Arabidopsis thaliana: one gene and its partners. The protein of the gene in region 1 interacts with the protein of each later gene in a pairwise test. Each region holds a gene or a part of one and is shown in the gene's direction. Other genes may lie near its edges.

The links.
Region 2: the proteins of SPL15 (region 1) and AGL86 interact in a two-hybrid assay, tested with the Arabidopsis thaliana proteins (one large-scale study listed by BioGRID).
Region 3: the proteins of SPL15 (region 1) and TRB2 interact in a two-hybrid assay, tested with the Arabidopsis thaliana proteins (one large-scale study listed by BioGRID).
Region 4: the proteins of SPL15 (region 1) and CRF8 interact in a two-hybrid assay, tested with the Arabidopsis thaliana proteins (one large-scale study listed by BioGRID).

The regions. Positions count from the first base shown.
Region 1 is NC_003074.8:21,442,301-21,448,710, reverse strand, and holds SPL15 (squamosa promoter binding protein-like 15), read left to right. Parts: upstream 1-2,675; 5' UTR 2,676-2,858; coding exon 2,859-3,172; exon of another isoform or gene 3,173-3,434; coding exon 3,435-3,577; exon of another isoform or gene 3,578-3,653; coding exon 3,654-4,261; 3' UTR 4,262-4,468; downstream 4,469-6,410. Other genes in the region: AT3G57930 (rho GTPase-activating gacO-like protein), read left to right, coding at 1,036-1,461; AT3G57910 (D111/G-patch domain-containing protein), read right to left, coding at 4,743-4,802, 4,910-4,975, 5,103-5,648, 5,815-5,940; AT3G57900 (import inner membrane translocase subunit Tim17/Tim22/Tim23 family protein), read left to right, coding at 6,137-6,238, 6,326-6,410. UniProt on the Arabidopsis thaliana protein: Trans-acting factor that binds specifically to the consensus nucleotide sequence 5'-TNCGTACAA-3'.
Region 2 is NC_003070.9:11,316,889-11,322,185, reverse strand, and holds AGL86 (AGAMOUS-like 86), read left to right. Parts: upstream 1-2,638; coding exon 2,639-3,658; downstream 3,659-5,297. Other genes in the region: AT1G31620 (uncharacterized protein), read right to left, coding at 4,292-4,369, 4,634-4,730, 4,924-5,017, 5,179-5,245. UniProt on the Arabidopsis thaliana protein: Probable transcription factor.
Region 3 is NC_003076.8:26,953,602-26,960,225, reverse strand, and holds TRB2 (Homeodomain-like/winged-helix DNA-binding family protein), read left to right. Parts: upstream 1-2,451; 5' UTR 2,452-2,702; intron 2,703-3,118; 5' UTR 3,119-3,152; coding exon 3,153-3,302; intron 3,303-3,379; coding exon 3,380-3,600; intron 3,601-3,684; coding exon 3,685-3,769; intron 3,770-3,842; coding exon 3,843-3,926; intron 3,927-4,023; coding exon 4,024-4,383; 3' UTR 4,384-4,658; downstream 4,659-6,624. Other genes in the region: WIH1 (cysteine-rich TM module stress tolerance protein), read left to right, coding at 1-45, 133-289, 427-472; FRO1 (NADH-ubiquinone oxidoreductase-like protein), read right to left, coding at 870-926, 1,234-1,263, 1,445-1,574, 1,759-1,847, 1,995-2,153; DG1 (Tetratricopeptide repeat (TPR)-like superfamily protein), read right to left, coding at 4,746-5,330, 5,403-5,810, 5,891-6,048, 6,139-6,232, 6,330-6,443, 6,555-6,624. UniProt on the Arabidopsis thaliana protein: Binds preferentially double-stranded telomeric repeats, but it can also bind to the single G-rich telomeric strand.
Region 4 is NC_003070.9:26,819,866-26,825,340, forward strand, and holds CRF8 (Integrase-type DNA-binding superfamily protein), read left to right. Parts: upstream 1-2,651; 5' UTR 2,652-3,011; coding exon 3,012-3,497; 3' UTR 3,498-3,806; downstream 3,807-5,475. Other genes in the region: AT1G71110 (uncharacterized protein), read left to right, coding at 1-63, 158-479, 565-987; GLIP6 (GDSL-motif lipase/hydrolase 6), read right to left, coding at 1,207-1,442, 1,530-1,995, 2,070-2,209, 2,309-2,555; AT1G71140 (MATE efflux family protein), read left to right, coding at 4,897-5,139, 5,219-5,475.

The DNA.
Region 1 (6,410 bases):
TTTTAGTCAGTCTCAGTGATGGTAGTGAGAAGAAAAAGCGTCATTCTTACGTTTTTCTTTTAAGTTTCACTCAGAGACAGAAGCTAGAACAAAGAAAAGAGAAGCCTTTTGAAAGCAATCAACTTTAATCTTTTTCAACCAACACTAGTACTCTAGCTGTTGCTCTTTCTCTTCGTTTTCTTCCTTCCTTCTTCTCTTAGATCTCTTTCTTTTAACTTGAGTCTTATCCTTTGGATTTTTATTCGATTTGATTCCTCCGTTTGGTTTGGTCAGTTTTCTTTAGACTCTTAGTCTTTCCTCTGATCTGGGTTTTAGCTGTAGAAACTCGTGAGTTAGATCGATTGAGAACCCAACTATAAATTAGTAAAAAGAGAAACCCTTTATAGGTTTTTTGGGGTTTTTGTCTCAGTCTGACCAATGGGTTCACAGGTGAGTCTCTGTCTCTCTGTTTTGAAGAGATTGTAAGGAAACTAGGGCTTGTTTTCTTGTTTAGACTGTTCATGCAATTAGTTTTCGTGGAAGATAATTGATTGAACTTGCTTGTAGCTTAGTTCTTGGTTTCTATTGAGCTCTAAAGGATAGGTTTTTAAGAGATGAAATTGTTTAATGTCTCGTGACTCAAGTGTTGCTTATATATGTTTCCTTTGTTCAGATCTTTTTGGAAAGAATTTGTATTTGGATGTTGTTAAATAACTTGTTCAATGCACTGCTTCTAATGCATGAAAAAAATGGAATCTTGCTTTCGTGTTTATGATTGCGCTTGTGTTGATTCTTCAATGAATAGTTCCTCCTCTATGGAGTGTCTGCCAGTTTGAATGATCCTCTACTTTTGTGCATATCGAAAAAAATGACATTGCTTTTCACACTTTTTAGTCTGCATTCTTCAACAAATTTCTATAGTGTTTGAGTTTAGTTCGCCTTCATTGTGTTGTTGTGAGGTATGAGTTACTACTGGTAATTAAAAAGCAACCTTTTCAACTTGCAGGTTTCTTGTCTAGTTGCTTGAGGTTTTTGGTTTTTGGTTTGAATAGAGTTATGAGAAGAGGTAGAGGAAAAGGCAAGAGGCAGAATGCTACTGCTAGAGAAGATCGAGGGAGCGGCGAGGAAGAAAAGATTCCAGCTTTTAGGAAAAGAGGGAGGCCACAGAAGCCGGTGAAAGATGAAGAAGAAGAAGAAGAAGAGCTAGTGAAGAAGACAGATGAGGAAGAAGACAAGGATGATGATACAAATGGTTCAGTAACAAGTAAAGAAAATGTGACAGAGAATGGGAGGAAGAGGAAGAAACCAGTGGAGTCTAAAGAGAGCAACATAACTGAAGAAGAGAATGGGGTAGGGTCAAAATCAAGCACAGAAGATTCTATGAAATCATCGTCGTCTATTGGGTTTAGGCAGAATGGGAGCAGAAGGAAGAACAAACCAAGACGAGCTGCTGAAGCTGTTGTTGAATGTAATGGGGTTTGAAAAGAGGTTCTTAACGCTTTTGAAACCGCCTTTTTGGTATTTTTTTTGTTGTTTTTGTTAGATACTTTTGCTGTTATAAACCCGAGTTTGATGCGGGTGCGTTCTGGTTTCATTACATGGAATCAAAACTTCGATTTTTCGGATATTGCTCTTCCCTCCTAGTTTCCATGGCGTTCTGAAACTCACTCTTTCTTTTGAACAAAGTGGAGCCTAAAAATGCTCTTTGACGGCTATGCAAAAATGAAACAGTCATAAGTTGTGAAAAGCGAAAAAGAAAAGGTTCATTGTAGGAAGAAATATCAAGAAGATTTGTGATAGTCAAGCCAGATTAGTGGGGGGGGGGGGCTTTAGGCCTTTTTTCAGGTTGTATTTTTGTAGAATTTTGGAAATCAAAACAAAGGAACTTAAAGCAAAAAGTAAAAGGAATAATATCAAACTGATACACACAACCCTAAGAAAATTCAAGTACACAATTTCTGATGGATACATGACCGTGAAAATCGAACTTCCCATACTCTCTTTTTGCATAAATATTTGTTCAATTATCAAGAAAGATTTTGCATAGGATATGGTGAGAAGAAGAAGAACAAATCTCATTGCTTAAAAGAAAAAGAATCACTAAAGTATTTTTAGAAAGAAAAAAAAATAGAACTAAACTCAAAAAGTGTTCAATAACCTTCTAGTTCCTTTGAAGAGTCACATCCTTAGTTGAGTTCCAACACTCTGGTCTATCTGCCCATAATCCTCAATTCTTTCTACTTTAGAATTTTAAAAATGAGCAATAAAGTTGTTGTTTCTCTTTAATTAGAAATAGTATTTAGAAGTAGTTAAATAGCCATCCATTTATAGGTCTGTGATCTATTCATATTTTTACAAACTACAATAAAGATCAATAGTTTTGTGATTTTATCATCATTAGACTATTTTAGTAGTATAAAACTAGTATACAATAATTAGAATAAATTAGCTGTAGATTTTTACATGGGAGTTATGTTCCCTGATCTGGTCTGGTCTCGTTTAAGGATATCATTTTGTACGTTAAAGAAGAAAAATATCCTTATCCTCCCTTTTGTGTTTATTTGTTCAGATGTTACAAAAACCACCAAAACGCACCAACATCCCAAAACGCAAACGCTAAAAACACGTAGCTGTCGTGGACTAGTGTCAATCACTCTTGAGTGTCTCTTCTTTTGTCAGCTTCTCTTTCTTTCTTTCTCTCTCTTCTCTTCTCTCTGATTCTTTAAAAGATAGCAACATCTAAAATCTGCAAAACCACATTTTCTTTCCTCTATTCTCCTCCGTCCTTACTATTTCCAGAGTTCAGTACTTAGAAAGAAAGAGAGTGATGAGCAGAAGCATCTCTTTCTCTGTCTGAGTAAGAGGAAGCCAAAACCATAATGGAGTTGTTAATGTGTTCGGGTCAGGCCGAGTCAGGTGGTTCTTCTTCCACCGAGTCTTCTTCACTCAGTGGTGGACTCAGGTTTGGTCAGAAGATCTACTTCGAGGATGGATCCGGATCCAGAAGCAAGAACCGGGTCAATACCGTTCGTAAGTCGTCTACCACGGCGAGGTGCCAAGTGGAAGGTTGTAGAATGGATCTAAGCAATGTTAAAGCTTATTACTCGAGACACAAAGTTTGTTGCATTCACTCTAAATCATCTAAAGTCATTGTCTCTGGTCTTCATCAAAGGTTTTGTCAACAATGTAGCAGGTTTCCCCCTTTTTTCTTCTTCCTTTTATTTACTCATTTTGCCATTTCCGGTGATCGGAATAGTTCTAAGGGAACCATAGCTTTACGCTTTTTTCAGGTTTTATGTTCCTTTTGAGCTTTTTGAGTTTTGGCTCTTAACGTCATTGAAGAGTCTTATCAAAACTTAAACTTTACAGCTAGTTATTATGTGGTCTTGTCTCTTGTCTTATGCATTATTTAGGTTGCTTTTCTTTGAAGCTTTCTTTTCTTTATATCAAATCAGGTTTCACCAGCTTTCTGAGTTTGACTTGGAGAAAAGAAGTTGTCGCAGAAGACTCGCTTGTCATAACGAACGACGAAGAAAACCACAACCCACAACGGCTCTTTTCACTTCTCATTACTCTCGAATCGCTCCATCTCTTTACGGTTAGATCCCAATATACACAGCCCTTTTCAGCTCAATGAGTCTCAAAAACAAGTTATTGAATTTCCTGTGTGTCAGGAAACCCCAATGCTGCAATGATTAAAAGCGTTTTGGGAGATCCTACTGCGTGGTCAACCGCAAGATCAGTGATGCAGCGGCCTGGACCGTGGCAGATTAATCCAGTTAGGGAAACCCATCCACACATGAATGTTTTATCACATGGAAGCTCAAGCTTTACTACATGTCCAGAGATGATAAACAACAATAGCACAGATTCAAGCTGTGCTCTCTCTCTTCTGTCAAACTCATACCCAATTCATCAGCAGCAACTTCAGACACCAACAAATACATGGCGACCATCTTCTGGTTTCGACTCGATGATCTCATTCTCCGATAAGGTTACAATGGCTCAGCCACCGCCCATTTCAACCCATCAGCCGCCCATCTCAACACATCAGCAGTACCTCAGCCAAACTTGGGAAGTCATCGCGGGCGAAAAGAGCAATTCACATTATATGTCTCCTGTGAGTCAAATCTCGGAGCCAGCAGATTTCCAGATAAGCAATGGCACCACAATGGGTGGATTTGAGCTGTATCTTCATCAGCAGGTTCTGAAGCAATACATGGAACCCGAGAACACAAGAGCTTATGACTCCTCTCCTCAACATTTCAATTGGTCTCTTTGAGTCTAATCTCTTTCACCTTTTAAGATCTTCATCAGTTTGTTACTAAAATCTTATCAACTATCTCTTGTGTGCTACTTTAAAACCAGGCAATGATGCCCGATAATGCCTTTCCGTTTGGATGTTTTTTTCATGGCTTTTTATCTTTTTAAGAACTTTGGTTTTATTGATGATCTCTACGATAGTTTACGATTTGCATCCAACAGAAACTCAGGTTACATACTTGGAGATCAAATTGAAACATCAACATTATCATCAATATATTGTCTTATCAAATCAGAGTTCCACATGCTTTTATCATCCTACTATCTATTTAAAAGCATGAGAATTAGCAAGTCCTTAAGATTCTAAGTGTGTACCTCAACTGCAAACACAGTCTTCCTTCTGTATCTTGCTTCCTCTTCAGCCACATCAGGAAATTTTCAACCTGAAGCTTCTGCAGACATGGATTGTGTTTGTGTGCTTCCATACTAGTGTGGCTTATCTAGTGATCATCCTCATTTACGCCAGGACAGTTGGATAGAAGAGCTTCAGTCGTTTCATACTGATTCACATATCGTGAAATTTCATATTAGTGTATACTTACACAAACTCAACATTCAAGATTCAGAAAAAACATCGATAAAAGAAGATTTCAAAGCATTCAGTTACCTGGAACCCGCAGAAAAGGCAATACCAATGTTCAGCTCTCAGTTTCATTAATATTTCTTGCAAATCCTGCAACCAGTAAAACTAAACTTGTCAACCTAAAGAACAGTGTCTCAAACTCTAATCAATTGGTCCCATTACTCATAAAGATGAAAGACACCAAAAGTTCCAACTCTTGTTTCCTAGGAGAACATACCTCTTCAGTGATCTCCTCCTCTTCTTCCTCTTCTTCATCAGGCTTACCATCTTCATCTTCCTCATTTTTCTTCTCCGGAACAACTTCTACATTCTCAAGTTGATCAAGAGCAGCCTTAGCCTTCCTAAAGTTAATCAAAACTCTTTTCTTACGCCATTGAGACTTCTGTCTAGACCCAAAATCCTCCAACATCTCATCCACTTTTCTCTTCTCATTCTCAGCCTCAATCTCCTCCTTTTTCTTCTTCTCCTTATGTGGATCCTCTCTTCCCACACCGGCTCTCGATCTTCGAATATCCATAGTCACTGGCTCAGCTCTACCAGAGCCTTGTTTACCAAGAGCAGAACCTGGCTTGTAACCCATTTGCTTCAATAGCTTAAACCCTATGTTAGACTCTCCTATTGGAGTGTCTACTATACGAGCCAATGTCTGCTCATCTTCTTCTATCTGTTTCCTCTCTTTCTCCAATCTTCGTCTCTCGTGCCAATTGAGATTTTTTAACTTCTTCCGTGATGGTTCTACGATTACAGTTTTCTTCTCAGATTCCTGCAAAAGCATTTATATACGAATTTAAATATAATCCCAAAATCTCATTCAGCTATCAAACTAAACGAAATTTGTTGGAGATTATTCAAAATCAGTTGGACAAATTTGGATTCAGGAGCTTGACAATTGTGGACATAAGAAGATGAAAATTTTGGCCTGAAGATACCTTTCTTTTGGAGGTCTGGCTAAGTTCCTGAGGAATAAACTGAGAAAGGTCTCCCATGTACTCATCATCTTCTTCTTTCGCTGCTTCTCCTCCAAGCCCAGTCAGATTTCTCGTCGATTCTGCCATTGCCGACGGAGCTTGCGTTCGCGCTGAGAGGAAGGGAGAACAACAAAAAAAAAAAGAGAATCATTAATGGGCTTTAATTAGGCCCAATAATAATAGTATTTGGCTGTGTTCTCCACTATGTCGTTGCTGCCAATTTTCTTTGTTAGATCACGTTTGACATAAAAAGGACTAAGCTTTATCGGTTGAAGAAATTATCATGGATCCTACAGAAATGAGATACTTGGAAGAGGAAAATGGAGCGATGATGAAGACATTCAAAGATGCTGTGACTGGTTTTGCAACTGGAAAGACGTCCCTCGTATTGAAAGAAACGTTGCTCTTCCAGGACTCATCAGAACGTTGAAGATGATGGGAAGCCACGGGCTGACTTTTGCTGCCATTGGAGGTGTTCATTGGTGTTGAACAGTTGGTGCAGAACTTTAGAGCTAAGAGAGATTTCTTCAATGGAGCACACATTACAATGACTAAAG
Region 2 (5,297 bases), on another chromosome or scaffold:
ATTACATCTTTCTTAGTTTATGTTCTGAAACATGTCATACTTTACAATACAATTATTTGTCGATATTAAATCCTTCTTCTTTGTTTTCAGGACATTGGTCATGCATGGGCTTCTTGAAGCATATTCCCGAACACTTGCGAATCTTGCTTTCTGGATTCTTTCAAGAATGGGAGAAATCTTGAAAGAGTTATAACTCCCTTGCACCACCGAGTAGCATCCTTAGCTCATGTGACCCTAAAGAGCACCCCAAAGGCCTTTGCTTTGGTCCCGTGTAAGGCCTCTCCGATGGGACAGAGACTGGTTTTCTATTTTTTGTTTGCAGTTGCTAAGGCAGGTAATTCAGTGAATACAACTCCAAGTAGAAGCAGTAGACTGTGGTGTTTAAGTAAAGTGCCTTCTGATACTTCTCCTTGATTTAGAGGGTCTTCCTAGTTCGATGCGTGCCACCTGAAGCTTCTCCTTTAAAAACCGTTTTAAAGACTGTATTAAGATTGAATATGGTTAAATTGATTTGGCTCTTCTGAAAATTTTAAATAAAAAGCTGAGATATTAAGAAAATAAGGTATATTTTAGGATATGCATATATTATGGGCCTAAGGTAATTTGAAATTAACACAAGCCTTAATGTATCTCTATCTGTACCTATCACCTACTAAGTATTCATTAAGATTTTTTTTTAGAAAAATGGCTTCCTAGCGTTCTATTTCAACTATAGGCTTCACTTCGTGTATCATCCCAACACTGACGAGGTTTTTTGGGTTGGATTCAAGTGTGTACTTCAACTAAGAACATATTTTTGGTGACCAGTTATGCTTACTACAACGTTCAGATAAGATCGACTATACCTTGAATTGTTTTAGTATGTGTAAATTAAATACATAGATTAAACGGATCGTGATTACCAAAAAAAGTTCTTATGTATATATATGGACCTTATTTAAGATATCTATAGTTAAACTTTTGAACATGACCTATAACTATAAGTAGCTTAAGTCGCCCCTAACTAAACATATAAATAAACATGAAAATTAGTGTTTTATGGCAGATGAAAGTTATTTATTATCTGAGCCAAAAATATACGGTGAGCTTGAAATAAAATTTAGCATTTAAAGAGAATGGAAATTAAACTACTACTGGATTGAATTATTTACCATTCTCTCATGTAATATCTTCTACTCTATAGTATTTTTATAACTATTTGAAAACATTTAATCAAAAATCAATAAATATGCTATTTATTTTAGAGAAATTTCTACATTTTGTAAATGTAATTGATAAGAAGAGAACCAGTCAAACAAAGTCTAATTAACGATGTGCATTCTTGTTTTTCTTATTTTTTGGTTATTGTTAGACCTCCATTTTTTTTGGATTCTCTCTCATTATAATCATACCACACAAAAAAAGTATGAGAGAAATAAGAGAAAGGTTCTTAAATAAGAACTTTTGGTATATTAACTTGAACTTTGGGTATATTACACTTGTCTTTTTTTAATTGGTTCATTTTTTGCTTTTAAACCAAAAATTAATATATAATTAAACTATATTTAAATATTAATACTTTAAAGTTTAGATATTTCTTTGGGTATGTAAAAACAACTGGAAGTTTTCTATACGTAGTCTAAAATCTTTAATTTCCCTATTTACAGCTTATAATTAGCTGGCAATGCAATGAAATATTCTAACCCAATAAAAGAAAAAGTATTCTCCAAAAGGTATAATATATGCATGATTTAACAAATTATCTCTAAACTAATTTATTACTGAGCCAAAAGAGGAAAGAAATCCATCTATTAATGTATAAAACAGTTATTTTATCCAAATTTCCTTTTAATTAGAATCAACTTAATGATTAAAAAAAATCAGGTGGACCTGCAGGCCATGACAAATGTTCTTTTAATATATTTATTAAAAAAGTTCATATAACCAAATCTGAGATTTAAAAAAATATATTTTTCTCTAATACTCTACTATTATATATTTTCATTTGTTATTATTGTAAGTATCAAATATTTTTACTAAATTAATTAATATAAATTTTAATGATATTTTATTATCTTATTATATTGGTTTACAAACTTCTTGGTATGTTCTCCTTTAATGTATATAGGTAGTTTAAAGATTTTCTTAGAAATAGAACACATATTTCGTGAGATTCATGTTACATTGTTTTCAAAAACTTTCGTGCTTTCTAAATATTTCGTAAGACTCACGTTATATTGTTTTCATTTTTTTTCTATAAATAAACAACTCTTTTGAGCTTGTATATATTCATGATTTTACATGTAAATTGAAGATGGAGTACTCTATTTAAAAAGAAGAAAAAAAAACACTTCAAACTATTACTAAATTTCATAGTTTATAAACAAAACTTTAAATTACTCTTAAAAGAAAAGTGAGAGTAATATAGGAAGATAAACTATTCTTAGTAAAAAGAAAAGAAAATCTATTCTTAGACATAGCTTTAATTAGTGGCCTCGTCAATTAATGAGACAGTAAACACAAAACAAATCTAATGAGTCCAGCAACGTGAAAAGCCACGTACTGTGTAAAAGCACAATTTTCATTTCTATATAAACAAGACAGTCTTGGGCCAAGAAAGTAAACAAAACACACACCAAAGAAAAGAAAAACAAAGATAATGAGGTCGAAAATTAAGTTATCACTCATAGCTAATAAGACCTCAAGGAGAACCACATTCAGGAAGAGGAAGGGAGGGATAACGAACAAACTCCATGAGCTAACAACTCTCTGCGGCGTCAAAGCATGTGCGGTAATCTCCAGTCCGTACGAGAATCCAGTGGTGTGGCCGTCAACCGAAGGTGTTCAAGAGGCGGTTTCCATGTTTATGGAGAGGCCGGCGACAGAACAATCCAAGCTGATGATGAGTCATGAGACCTACTTGCAGGACAAAATTACCAAAGAAACAAAGAAACTGGAGAGTCTACGTCGTGAAAACCGAGAATCTCAGCTTAGGCAATTTATGTTTGATTGTGTTGAAGGTAAGATGAGTGAGCATCAGTATGGTGCAAGGGACCTTCAAGATTTAAGTCTTTATATTGATCACTATATCAATCAGCTTAATTCAAGTGTCATGCTCCTTACAAACAATGGTGCGTCTTCTTCTTCCTTTCCTCCTCCGCTTCATACTTCAGTTGCGGGTGCGGGTGCGGGTGCGGGTGCTGCTCCTCTTGTTGTTGCGGGTGCGGGTGCGGCTCCTCTTGCTGTTGCGGGGGCGGGTGCGAGTCCTCTTGCTGTTGCGGGTGTGGGTGCGGCTCCTCTTGCTGTTGCGGGTGCCGGTCCTCCTATGGCTCAGAATCAGTATGAGCCGATTCAGCCCTATATCCCTACTGCTTTTAGTGATAATATTCAATACCAAGCTCCTGTGGATTTTAATCATCAGATCCAACATGGAATCTATGATAATCTCAGTTTGGATCCAAATCATCAGTATCCGTTTCAAGATGATCCATTCATGGAGATGTTGATGGAATATCCTTATGAACAAGTGGGTTATGCTGCAGAGCATGCACACATCCCTTTCATGAACGGAAACTACTACAACTACCACCAACCACCAACCGTTGGTCTTACTACCACCGGTCACATGCCTTCCAACAACGCCACCACCACCACCACCACCAACACCACCGTTGTGTGATGTGTTTCAGTAGTTTGCATTTGTGTTTTGTCCATTTCAAAAGACCAATCTCTAATAATGTCTTTTCTTTTCAGTTAATTGTTGTAAGAGTTGAAGGTTTTACCTTTAAGTCAGTTATATTTTTATGTATTGGGTAATGTATTTCTGCGCCGTAGAGCCGGATATTTCAATTATATTTGAAGAAGTTTGGTCATAAATTTGTTTTTACTTTGTTTTTTGTTCTTAAAATACATAACTAAATAGATCTGCTAAAATCAAATATATTTTGTTTCATAGAAAATCTTACTTTGGATATATTATTCGCAAAAACATCAATACTCTGTATATCTCTTTCTCAATCCATAATTTATTTACTTCCCACACCTACCTATATAGCGAGCAAATGAACACACTAAAGAAGTAAAAACATGAACATAAATAATGAACACACGTCTCAGCAAACCCAAAAGATTAACAATACAAACTGTAGCTTGTTTAGTGTTGAAAATTTGAAAAATCAACATGATAAAATAATGAAACTAAAATAAAAGGCAAGTTTTCAGTTATCTCTTACATTAGGATCCTACGAATCAAGTTAAATTAATTCTAGGATCCTTAAAAAAGCCAACACTCTGGACGTGTGGTTATGTGCGATCAGAACAAGAGATTCACGGGAGCCGGAGGTTCTTTCGAATCCATAAGAGCGCCTAAACTCTTCACTGTCTCCAAATCCTAGGAGCTTTAACTCTTCTTATGTTTTTTGTTTCAACATTGTAGTAGAAAATGTAGAAGGGTCGAAAATTGAGTGACAACCTCTTTGGGGCAATAATGATCTCACCAGCCTTGTTGGTGTCTGGAAATGACATTTTAGCACACTCAACATCATCCCAAAAAGAGGAGGGAAACACACATGTTTGCTTTGACCATTCATGTTTCTCGACGTCTTCTAGTATCCATAAATCGAAACTATGGAAACCGATCATAATGGTCGCTCACAATGGAAGCAAGCTTCCCTTTGTATTCAATGAATACTGCTTCACTTCCCCATTGCACAAAACCCTTAAGTGCATTGATAAAACTCAGTTTCTCAGTTCTAAAATGAAAACAAACCAAAACTGTCTCTTTAGTTTTGGTTAAGAAAGCAGCTTAGTAGAGAAAACCGTTGATGAATACACTCGCTTGATGACCCGCCCTATAAGGTAAAGGGGTATCTTTAATGTGTATCCATACTTCACCATCTCCCAATGTTCATAACTTGTTCTCCAGATGACCACTAGATATCATACCTTTTTCTCTTCAAGGATAATGCTTTGTGTTGATCATCAATAGGATCGTATCCCACGATCAAAGCAGTGGTAGCAGGTAATTTAACCGCGATTGCTTCGAGGACATAGAGAAGAAGTAATCAATGAACCCTCGGCTTCGGATGATGGATTGCCACATCTTTGACACGAATCAAAACTTCATAAGAGACTTGGCAGGCAATCTAGCTAGTACAACCATATTTAGATCAAGAGGGAGCGAATCTAAGTCTAACCTACTTGTGTTTGTGTCTTTCTCATCTTCCTCCCCGTTATCGTTATTACAATCTCGCTCGTTACATTTCATGGCGCCTCCTAAACAAACCCTAGATTTGATTCGGCAAATGACTTTAGTTTTT
Region 3 (6,624 bases), on another chromosome or scaffold:
TGTATCATCAAGAACAACATCCTGTCGGTGCTCCTCCTCCCCAAGGTATTATCTCTTTTTCTTTAGTTTTGGATAGTTGGTTTATCTTCTTCGATCTGCTTGTTTAATTTGCTCTTGAATTTCGGTTTAAAGGGTATCCACCTAAGGACGGTTATCCTCCGGCCGGTTATCCTCCAGCCGGTTATCCACCGCCAGGATATGCTCAGGGATACCCTGCACAAGGTTATCCTCCGCCGCAGTACTCTCAAGCTCCGCAGCAGAAGCAAAACGCCGGTATGCTTGAAGGATGGTACGTTCTTGATCCCATCTTTTCTACTTTATATTAACTTTATTTTGGTTTCTTGTTTTGCTTTGTATTTAGGTTTTAGTGGAATAATACTGTATTAGTTAATATATGTCTTTGCTCTGTTCATAAATACGTCACAGTTTGGCTGCGCTCTGTTGTTGCTGTCTCTTGGATGCATGTTTCTGATCGGAGGATAATTATATACGTTGCCTCAGTCAACTTTTATTTCCTCATATATGTTATGTAATGTTCAACAATCTTTCTTCTGTTGTTATCTTCTTTCAATTCGAATTTTGGTATCTTATGTTTTATTGACTCCGACCATAATTATCTCTCTCTTTCATAATCCAATCACACGAATTCGAAATAAACCAGTAAAGAAGTGATCAGAAATCTTGATGAAATATCAAAGGAGTGTGTTTCATCATCATCATCATATTATTGTAATAAGTAAACATAGCCATGGATAATGGTTCTTTTCAACCAAAAAGCTCACAGATGCTAAAATAACAAAGAAACATGAGAATTAATATCAAATGAGGTTTCTTCTTTTGCTCGAGAAGAATTGGAAGAAGGTGTAACATCAGTTTTCTGGTTGAGGATTGCCTTTCCACTTGAAGTTGTCCGAGTAAGACTTGACCTGCAGTTAGATGTTAGATGATGAACAATCATGGGGTTAGGTTAAAACTTCAATCTAAAGAATGTTCTACCAAATAAATCAAAGGAATGAAAGAGACTATCGCTCGTCAAACTAGTAGCTAAATCTTAAACTAGAGGCACCAAACCATTTCTGATGAAGCAATATGAGTTAAGTTAAAGAATATCCTATCTATTTAACACAACATTCAAGGGTCGTTCCAGTGAATCTCCAGCTTTAGGGTTAAACACCTCATATGAGTAGAGCTCGTAAGTCATAATGCGGCATTAGCAAAAAGATAGTTACTAACCTTCAATAATGGTGTGTTGGGCTTCTTGACCTGCAATGATTTAGATGTAAGTTTTTCAGTACTCTGAATTCTATATTAAGGGATCTTAAAACAGAACCATCACAATGGTGATCGAAAAAAAAAAAAAACAGAACCATCACATTCTCATAAAATGTGAGTGAATGCGACCAGAAAAAAAAATGAGCTAAAAACGAAGAAGGAAACAACGTACCTTATAATCCCAACCATGACGCTCAGCAAAAGACTTAGCAGCTTCTTCAGAATCAAAAGCAAGAGCAGAGTCACCAACATTAGCATAGGGGTCACCTGTAGAAGTCCATCCCATCAACGGATTCTCCCACCTAGAAACATATGAATGCCATAGATAAGTGATGTCAATCGAAATCTAATCAACAAGTGATGGACTAGTACTAGTCACAAGCAGAAGACTTAAGTTTTGAAAAGATAGGAATTTTAAGGATAAGAATCATATTAGGACATAAAATGTGAGGAAAAGAGGATTATCTTAATCAAAAAGTAGCATACTTTAAGGTGGAGACGAAGTTAATCTTCCATTTTCCGAGTTTTCCAGATCCTGACTGGGTAGCTGTTCTAGCAGGTGAGTATATTATCACCTGTTAATTTCCAAATTCAATACTCTTAGCACTATTCGATTGACCAAAATCAAATCAAGAACACGATGTAGCTCAATTAAGACGATTCTCTGATCACGAACCCTAATTTTCTAAACTGAATTCGTAAGAAATCGAATGCTTATTTACCTTGCGAGAAAGATGCTCCTCTGGGATTCCGGAGACCTTACCGATCTCACCACGCTTGTAATCCGACTCAACCACCGCGTCAGTAGCGAAAGGTCGAGCAACACGCCGGAGCGTCGCCGCTATACGGATAGTCCTTTGAGTAGTAGCACAAAGCGCCATCGTCAATTAGAGAAATCTGGAAAATTGCTGAGCTTTTTGATTTCGCTTTGGTTTCTTCTACTTCTGTAGATTTTAGAAAGAAAAAAAAAACACATATTTCAATCTAGCCATCAAAATTTTATAAATTACGCTTTCGGTCTTACTATTATATGAAAAATCTTTAATAGCCCCTAAACTATCTGTGAGATTTAACAACGATAAATTTTATAGATACATTATTTTTAAAAAATAGTACTAGTATATTTTATTCAGCTTGATCCTATTCATTTAGTTGGTAGGTTTTATTGTGTAATTTGATAAACTTGAGGCAAATTTGTGAATGTGGAGAAATATAGGGTTACATCTTCCTTAGCTTGAATACAAAAGAAAAGCTCAAGTTTGTTTCTCGTTTCTATGGATATTCTTCTTCCTTATGCTAGCCTCTCTGGTCTTCTTCTTCTTCGTTCGTTTCAGCGAATCACATTTGATCTATGACACATCTATACAAGGAATTAGCTTTCATCATCAAGTCTCTCTCTCGAAAACTCTCCTTTGGTTTCGTTTGATCTGGCATGCTTCTTCTCCTCCTTCCTCCTTTCTGCTTCCTTCTCTGAATTTTCCATTTTTGTTTTTAATTTTCTACGATCGCCCCATTTGAATTTGGTTGATAATTTAGCTATCGCTTTAGATTGATGGCTGTATTTCCAAATTCCTGTTGATTTGCGACGTTGTTAATGGGCTTTGATCCTCTTTTTTTGGTTCGAGATTGCTCGAATCACTCATTTTTTTGTTGAATTGAGCTTTGGGGCGTATCTAATTTCTTTGGATTTGTGTAGTTACATTTTTATGTTGTGGCTTTGTGTATCTGCTGGATTTAGATGACCAAAATTTTGTATTGGATAAGAAATGTTCAACAATGGCTTTGATGTGGTTAAGTTTCGTACGATTTAACAGATTCTAATGTTAGCGTTCACATCTATTGGCAGAGAAAAGAAGAAATTCAAATATTGATAACTGTGGATGGGTGCACCAAAGCAGAAGTGGACACCGGAAGAAGAAGCAGCTCTTAAAGCTGGAGTTCTTAAGCATGGGACTGGGAAGTGGCGTACCATACTCTCGGATACTGAGTTTAGTTTAATCCTTAAGTCTCGCTCTAATGTTGATCTTAAGGTAATACAATATAATATGCTTTTTGGAGGTTGTGATCGCGTGTTTCGGACTAATCTTGATAGTTCAAGGCATAACAGGACAAATGGAGAAATATAAGCGTGACAGCTTTATGGGGTTCAAGGAAGAAGGCTAAACTTGCGCTTAAGAGGACTCCACCAGGTACTAAACAGGATGATAACAACACAGCTCTTACCATTGTGGCTTTGACTAATGATGATGAACGTGCAAAACCAACTTCCCCCGGAGGTTCTGGTGGTGGATCACCACGCACTTGTGCTTCTAAGAGATCAATTACAAGGTTTGGTTCCCTGACTTATGCACCACATAACGATTTTCTTGAGTTCATAAAGATTTGATCTTGCGCTATTGTCTGTTTTTGTAGTTTGGATAAGATCATCTTTGAGGCAATTACCAACTTGAGGGAACTACGCGGTTCTGACAGAACATCAATCTTTCTGTATATAGAGGTATTTCTACCATTGGGATTACATGTTTGGTTGGGGTTTGTTGCATACTTACTTAGTAGCTGTTAAATTTCAGGAGAATTTCAAGACTCCACCGAATATGAAAAGGCATGTCGCAGTACGATTAAAGCATTTATCATCGAATGGAACATTAGTTAAGGTAAACACACAACTTTTGATTCAAGATTCATGATCACTAACACTTCATTACTCTCAGAATTTTCAAAAATACTTACTTGGTGATTTCTCACTTTCAGATAAAGCACAAGTACAGGTTTTCTTCTAATTTTATTCCCGCAGGTGCAAGACAGAAGGCTCCTCAACTCTTTCTGGAAGGAAACAACAAGAAAGACCCAACAAAACCCGAGGAGAACGGTGCCAACAGTCTCACTAAATTCCGAGTAGACGGTGAATTATATATGATAAAAGGCATGACAGCTCAAGAAGCTGCAGAGGCTGCAGCAAGAGCAGTTGCAGAGGCAGAATTTGCTATCACAGAGGCTGAACAAGCAGCAAAAGAGGCAGAAAGAGCAGAAGCAGAAGCTGAAGCTGCTCAGATATTTGCAAAGGCAGCCATGAAAGCTTTGAAGTTCAGGATCCGTAATCATCCTTGGTGAAACAGAAAGAAATAGCCATCATGGGGAAGTTCTGTAACAAAGCAAGCCATAAAATATATATACTTAGTGGGTTTACTGGTTTCTTAAGAGTGCCGATCTTGAATCAGGCGATATCTCATCACCTGCAGAGTTTTTTAAGTTTCCAAACCTATCTGCTCTCTTTTTTTGGTTAGTAACAGTGTAAATCCGCAGTTTGATCATATGTATGTTCTTTCTCCGAATCTGAGATTCTGTATAACTGATCTTTTATTGTATGTGGATGATCTGTTTAGTAACCTTGAAACTATTTTGAAGTGAGATGAGTAAGCAAAAAAATTGAGATTTTGTTCTACTAAAGATTTTGAGGAAATTTACAAGCATTTTCATTCTTTCTTACTACTCTCTTCCCATTCTTTCAGAATGTCATAAACTGAAAGTGAATCAGAGTCGCTAGATTCTTCATCATCATCAATCTCGAGTTCTTCTAGACCCAACGTTTCGAGTTCAGTCTCTGTAAATTCCCAAGCTTCACCATTAGCACTATTATCATCTTCCATTGTTGTATCTTGCAGAAGCAAATCTTCCTCCGGTTTTTCGCCCTGACTTTGAGTTGTTACATCTACGGCTAACAATGGTTGTGCTGAAGAAGAAGAAGACCCACATCGAGATTTCAATGACTTTGAGAGGTTTGAGACCGTTGGTTCACTTACATAATCACACTCAATGAGATGATCCGAGAGCTTATGAAGATTATCTTGAGTAAGCCAGTCTTGATGCTCCTCAAAAAGATCAGTCCATTCTTCTTCACTAATCTGGAAAGATGCGAGAGCCACAGTGTTAATCAGTGTGATAGCTCTTTGGAAATCGCCTTTAGCTGTGGCATGACACAACAGTTCAGTGAAGAACAATGGGTGAGGGATTTCTCCATCTTCAAGTACTGCATCGAAGGCATGCTCTAGAAGACTCCACTGCATTAACAAACAAAATTAGACAACAGCTTATGCTTCCATAAACACTTAAACTAGACAAAGATTTGTTACCTTCCCGGCTCTTGATGCTTCTATCAGCATTGATGCATGTTTTGTTTGATCCATTTGGTAACCAGAAAGAACCATCGTTTGATACACATGTTCAAAGTATTCCCATTGCAGTGATCTAGCTGAAGCTTCAAGCATGAAGCTGTATGTATACTCGTTTGGAACTAAATGAGTCTCTTTTCTGCTGACAATCTCTTCAAACAATTCTTTAGCTTCTGAAAACATATCATTCCTTCCGTAAACTTTAAGCATCATGTTCGCAGTTCCTATATTCGGATCACATTTATCTTTCATATATTGGAATATAGCCATGCAATCATCAACATGACCACCGTTCAATGAAGCGGCTATGAGTCCTGTGAAGGTAATCTCGAGCGGCCTGCAATTTTCAAGTCTTTTCATCCTCCCCACCTGCATTAATGAATTATGAAGAAAGTTAATTTTGTGGGTTTCTCTGAGAAGCAAAAAGGGTAAAGTAGGAGGGAACTTGCTTCGAGCATTGCATCGCACCAACGCCCGTTGTTGCACAGACAGCATGCCAATTCATAGTAAACTGAACCCGTTCCTATAACTCCCTTTTGTTCCATATCTCTGACTGCTTCAACAGCTTCTTCGATCTTGCCTTCTCTCCAGAGAGCTCGGACAAGAACTGAGAATCAATCATACGCTATAAGAATCATATCACCTTATAGATACCAAAATGAAGTAACCTAAATATACAGAGAGAATCAATATTTACCCTTGTATGTGATTGCTTTTGGAGCTTCGCCACTGCTTTTCATCTTCCTAAAAAAATCGTGAACACGATCAAACTTCCCTGACTCCAGCATAACCTGTCAAAATGACATCTTAAGACCACCCTACATATTTGAGGGTACCCACAAATACTACACCACAGCAGTTCGTTTATGTTGGAAAAAAGAACGCTACCTCCATCGCAAGCCCATATGTAGCTCCATTAGGCCTCAAACCATTTTTTCTTAACTCTACAAATACCCATGAAACAGCCTTCCATTGGAGTGTTGGAACACAAGCGTTAAGAATCTGGGAACCAGTGAAGCCAAGAATTGATCACACAGCAATAAGATACAGTGATTCGCTGCATAGTGCATATAGATATTAAACGAAGTTTAAAACTCGGAAATGCTCACTTACAGCGTTGTATACAACCAAGTCAGGTTCAAGCACAGGATCCCAGTTCTTTTGCCGCAAATTCTTAGTTAGT
Region 4 (5,475 bases), on another chromosome or scaffold:
GAGTGGGTGGATACTTGTGGCTGTGACATTTGTTCTTTGTGGAGTCTTTCTGATCCTAAACAAGTAAGATTTTGCTGTTCTGAATGTTTGTTTTCTCTTGCCTTATTAAGTAGACTCGCAAATGTAGTCAACTAAATGTCATTGTTTTGGTGTCCAGTGCAATTTCTGATACGTGTGTAGCAATGAAGGAATGGGTTGATAATCCTCACGCAGAAACAGCTCTCAGCAGCATTCTCCCATGCGTTGATCAGCAAACAACAAACCAGACTCTTTCACAGAGTAAAGTTGTTATCAACAGCATCGTGACCGTTGTAAACACCTTTGTCTATGCTGTTGCCAATACAAACCCAGCTCCAGGTCAAGACCGCTATTACAACCAGTCTGGACCTCCGATGCCTCCTTTATGCATCCCATTTGATGCAAACATGGAAGATCGCCAGTGCTCGCCTTGGGAACTATCAATAGAAAATGCATCATCGGTACTTTCCTACTCACCTATCTTTGTATATCTTGAACAAAACACCACCAGGTCTGAGACATGTCTTACTAAACTTCTCTTTTCAGGTCTGGGAGAATTACAAATGCGAGGTTACACCATCTGGAATCTGCACCACCGTGGGGAGAGTAACGCCAGATACCTTTGGACAGTTGGTAGCAGCTGTGAATGAGAGCTACGCTCTAGAGCATTACACGCCTCCATTGCTTAGCTTCCGAGATTGCAACTTTGTTAGGGAAACATTTATGAGTATTACCTCAGATTACTGTCCACCGTTAGTACGTAATCTGAGGATTGTGAACGCAGGACTCGGACTGATCTCCGTAGGAGTCTTACTATGTCTGGTGCTATGGATATTCTATGCGAACCGCCCCCAAAGGGAGGAAGTGTTTGCGGATCCACACCCTCAAAGAAAAGATGATAGCTTTGGTAACGGCTTGGATACTCATCACTCAGATGACGAACCTAAGCTTTCTGTAGAATGCGTATAGTATAGAGGTATAGTTAGATAGAATCAGATATTGTATTTCATAATGATATGAAAGAGAACAATAAAAACATTTTGTAGCGTTCATGTTACAGTAGAAGAGGAAGAAGAGACCAGAAGTGGAGCGAAGTTTCACTTTCTGGCTTTTGTTTTCACAATGATTTCGAGTCTTAATTCAGATACAAACTCATTATGAATTCTATATACAAGGGAGATATAAGTATTAAAATGTGATCTTGTTGGTGGCAAGAGCCATGAGATTAAATGGTCTGATATGGTTTTTGTTTCCATTCCATAAAGCTTTTGACATGAGACGGTAAGTGTGTTCTGTGGGATGATAAAAATCCCAAAACAGAAACTCATTTGGGTTATTGCAAATCTTGTATCCTTCTCTTCCACACTGCATCAATCCTCCCAGTGTACCGTTCCCACAACACGCGTTTGAAACATCCGAAAACCCTTCACCAAAAACATGATTCAGCTTTCTCATAGACACATTTGAAAAAGATCTCAAAGATGGAAGTTAATTAACTATATTGAGTTTACCGTAACGGGCAGGGTAGGTTTGAAATCTGTGAGTGATACCATATACAGCTCCAAACACCGCAATGGCTCCAGGGTACTTAGTGGGGATTATGTTCACTATATCTTCAAGTCTTTTATTATACATCTTGGCCATAACATTCATCTTACCAAAGCATTTATTGGTTGGGGCATTAGGAAGCATGGCTCTTGCAGGGACACAACCTACAGGACCTAAGGAGAAGAAAGCGATGCGGCGTGCGCCTAGTTTGTAGATCTGATCAATCGTTTTGTTCACTTGGTCTAACATTGCGTTCACATAAGCGTCTGGAGAAAGTGTAGGAGCTCGGAATGGGAGGAAGTAGTTGAAGATGTCGTTAGAACCAGTTTCTAATAAGAAGAGAGACTCTTGGATTATAGATTTTTCGATAAGGTTTTGCTCTACAAGTGTCTGGAATTGCTGTAGCTGGGTTTGGATCGGTGTCACGCCCTACATTTGATATGTGTACTTAATGAGTGATTCACAAGAAACAAACATTTTATTTGGTCAAGGTAGATATTTACCATAAATTTGTTGGTATCAAGCAAGAGACCACTACCAGCACTAGCAAAGTTAATGCCATTTGAAAAGTTTGAAGTTCCATTCAAGATTTGAATCTGCAATTCCAAGAATGGTTTCTGTAATGGAAGGCCTACAAATTCCGCTGCAATTATTGCGTCAAGAAAAGAAAAAAGAGACAAAAGTAAGGTTCCTTGCAGAAGAAGAAATGTTTTAGTTAACGAGTTGGGAGGTAATTTGTTACAGATGAAGTCAGCGACGGTTCTTCCGTTGGTGAACCTCCCAGTAGGACGGTGGAAAAAGGAAGAACCATAAGGAGGAAAATCAGCCTGAGCGGTACAGTTTTTGTTGTAATGGTTGTTTCCGGCGTCAAAAATAGAGTCACCGAAGGTAAAGATAGCAGGGACGGTGGAAGAAGACTTGGCCAGAACAACCGGAGAGATTAGAAGAAGCAGACACATGAGTAAGTCCATTGAAGAAGAAGAAGACATGGGACAAATGAGTTTATAATCATATAAAAGGAGATTATATACTGACACACATATATATATATATATATATATATATATATATATACAAAATTGACACGGAAGGCAAGAACATTGTTCATGTTTTTGCACTTACTCTTATGTGTGATTAAAGTTTCAAACTTATTCCTAAATTTCTGCTTCTTATTACATAGATGAAGGAAAAAAGAGTAAAGCGTTTTTTCCTTTAGAAGATGGGCTTCAAGCCATGTTGAGAAATTTCATGGATTTTACTGCATTTTCAGCTCTGAGGCCCATACGGCCCACATAGGATTGGTTAGAAAAAAATAGAGAAGTAAATAAGTAAAGATGAAAAGCATCAGAAAAAGAGATTCTGAAAGAATAAAAACATATTCTTTCTCTCAAATGCTTTCCTTTTAATGGAGACGAAGACGGAACCCTAATTTCCGCAAATTCACTATGAAGCGTATTATCAGAATCTCATTCACCGACGCAGAAGCCACCGATTCTTCTAGCGACGAAGACACGGAGGAGCGTGGAGGAGCATCCCAGACTCGGCGCCGTGGGAAACGCCTCGTTAAAGAGATCGTAATCGATCCTTCCGATTCCGCCGATAAACTCGATGTCTGCAAAACACGGTTCAAAATCAGGATCCCGGCGGAATTTCTCAAGACGGCGAAAACGGAGAAGAAATATCGTGGAGTGAGGCAGAGGCCGTGGGGGAAGTGGGTGGCGGAGATCAGATGTGGAAGAGGAGCTTGTAAAGGACGACGTGATCGTCTCTGGCTGGGTACTTTTAACACTGCTGAGGAAGCTGCTCTAGCTTATGATAACGCTTCAATTAAGCTGATTGGACCTCACGCGCCGACCAATTTTGGTTTGCCGGCGGAGAATCAAGAGGATAAGACGGTGATTGGAGCTTCTGAGGTTGCTAGAGGCGCGTGAAGTGGGGTTGGTAATTTAGTTGTTAGCATTAGCAAGAAGGTCTCTCTCGTATTTTGTAAATTCATCTTCTGATGTTGTGTATGATCTTGATGTCTTTCGTCTATGTATATATATGAAACTCGAGAAATGAACTATATTTTGATTTACACACAAATTTTAAGGTACAAATTTTTTTGAATTTTTAAAACGTTTAGGAAAGAAAAGTTTGGGTTGAAATAGGCTCTTTTTATTTGTATACTATTCAATCTTTTTACCATTTATGGATCAACACATAATAGAACAGAACTCTAACCAAATTGAACGTTAATGACTTGGATCAGAGTTATATTTTGATGGTTGATGAAAAGTTGAAAATTCTTTATATATCTTTCCATCTTTTGGTTCTTGTATCACCGTATCAACGATACATTTTTATACTTTGGGGTGTCTAATGAAAAATACTGAATTTATCAATTTACTTTGACTTGTTGAAGACTGATGGCCATGGGTGAGGGGTTTGGAGATAAAGAAAGTAATAAAGAACATGAAGAGATCAGCTAAACCAAGAGACTTCATCATACACATGATATATATGATCTTCTATAATACTATAATAGTAATGACTAAAGAGGAAATGAATGTTTTCGATAATAGTAGTGACTAAAGAGGAAATGAATGTTTTGACAAGAAAAAAAAGAAAAAGAGAGGAAATGAATGTTTACATGTACGTGCACATGAGTTTAAAAATAATAAGTTTGAGGAAACACAAGTGCGTTAGAAAAAAAGCAAACAGATATTTTCTTTTGACTTACGATTATGAAATTGAAAAAAAAAAGGATCTGAAGATAAATTTTGATTGGTTCACAAACTTCACATGATAAACAAGAAGATTTTTCTTTTTTGAACAAATCTTTTGATACCTTAAAGAGGAAGATTTTTGATATCAAAATGAATAAAAAAACAAAACAGAGAAAATTTTGTTTTTGATTCGTTTTGATACCTTTATGAGGAAGTAACATACTTATATTCAAAATGAATCAATGAATCAACATTGTAATTAATTAAATTTTTAACAGACCGCTTGACTAATTAAACAAGTTAAGATTATAATATTTCAACGCATTATTGTATAGTACTTTGGTGATTTGCATGTAAAGTTTTTTTTTTTTAACAAAGACTTTTCTTAATTTGCTATAATCAAGTGCCATTATTTAGATCGAGAGAGAATTTATGGCGGCTGAATAAGAGAGGACGACGCATGTATCTGTATCTCGAGGTGTAGAATCAATATACGACACGCCGCTATAAATTCCACAGAAGATATCATATAATATTAGTATATAAAGTATAGGGTTGATTCGGAGAAAGAGGTTAAAGTATTAGATTGAAACAACAAATCTCAGGGGAAGAAGAAGAGAGAATGGATTCGGCGGAGAAGGGCTTGCTTGTTGTGAGCGACAGAGAAGAAGTAAACAAGAAAGATGGGTTTTTGCGGGAAACGAAGAAACTTAGTTACATCGCCGGTCCGATGATTGCAGTGAACTCGTCTATGTATGTTCTTCAGGTGATATCTATAATGATGGTTGGTCATCTCGGTGAGCTTTTCCTCTCTAGCACCGCCATTGCTGTTTCTTTCTGCAGCGTCACCGGTTTCAGCGTCGTTGTATGTCTCTTTCTTGATCTTTCTCTTTTTCATTTTTATTAGCTTAAGATTCTAAATTGTGGTTGTGGTAATCACACAGTTTGGATTGGCTAGTGCGTTGGAAACTTTATGTGGTCAAGCTAATGGAGCTAAGCAATATGAGAAGCTTGGTGTTCATACTTACACAGGAATTGTCTCTTTGTTTCTTGTGTGTATTCCTCTCTCTCTTCTCTGGACATACATTGGTGATATACTTTCTCTTATTGGACAAGATGCTATGGTTGCTCAAGAAGCTGGGAAGTTTGCAACTTGGCTCATACCCGCGCTCTTTGGTTACGCTACTTTGCAGCCGCTTGT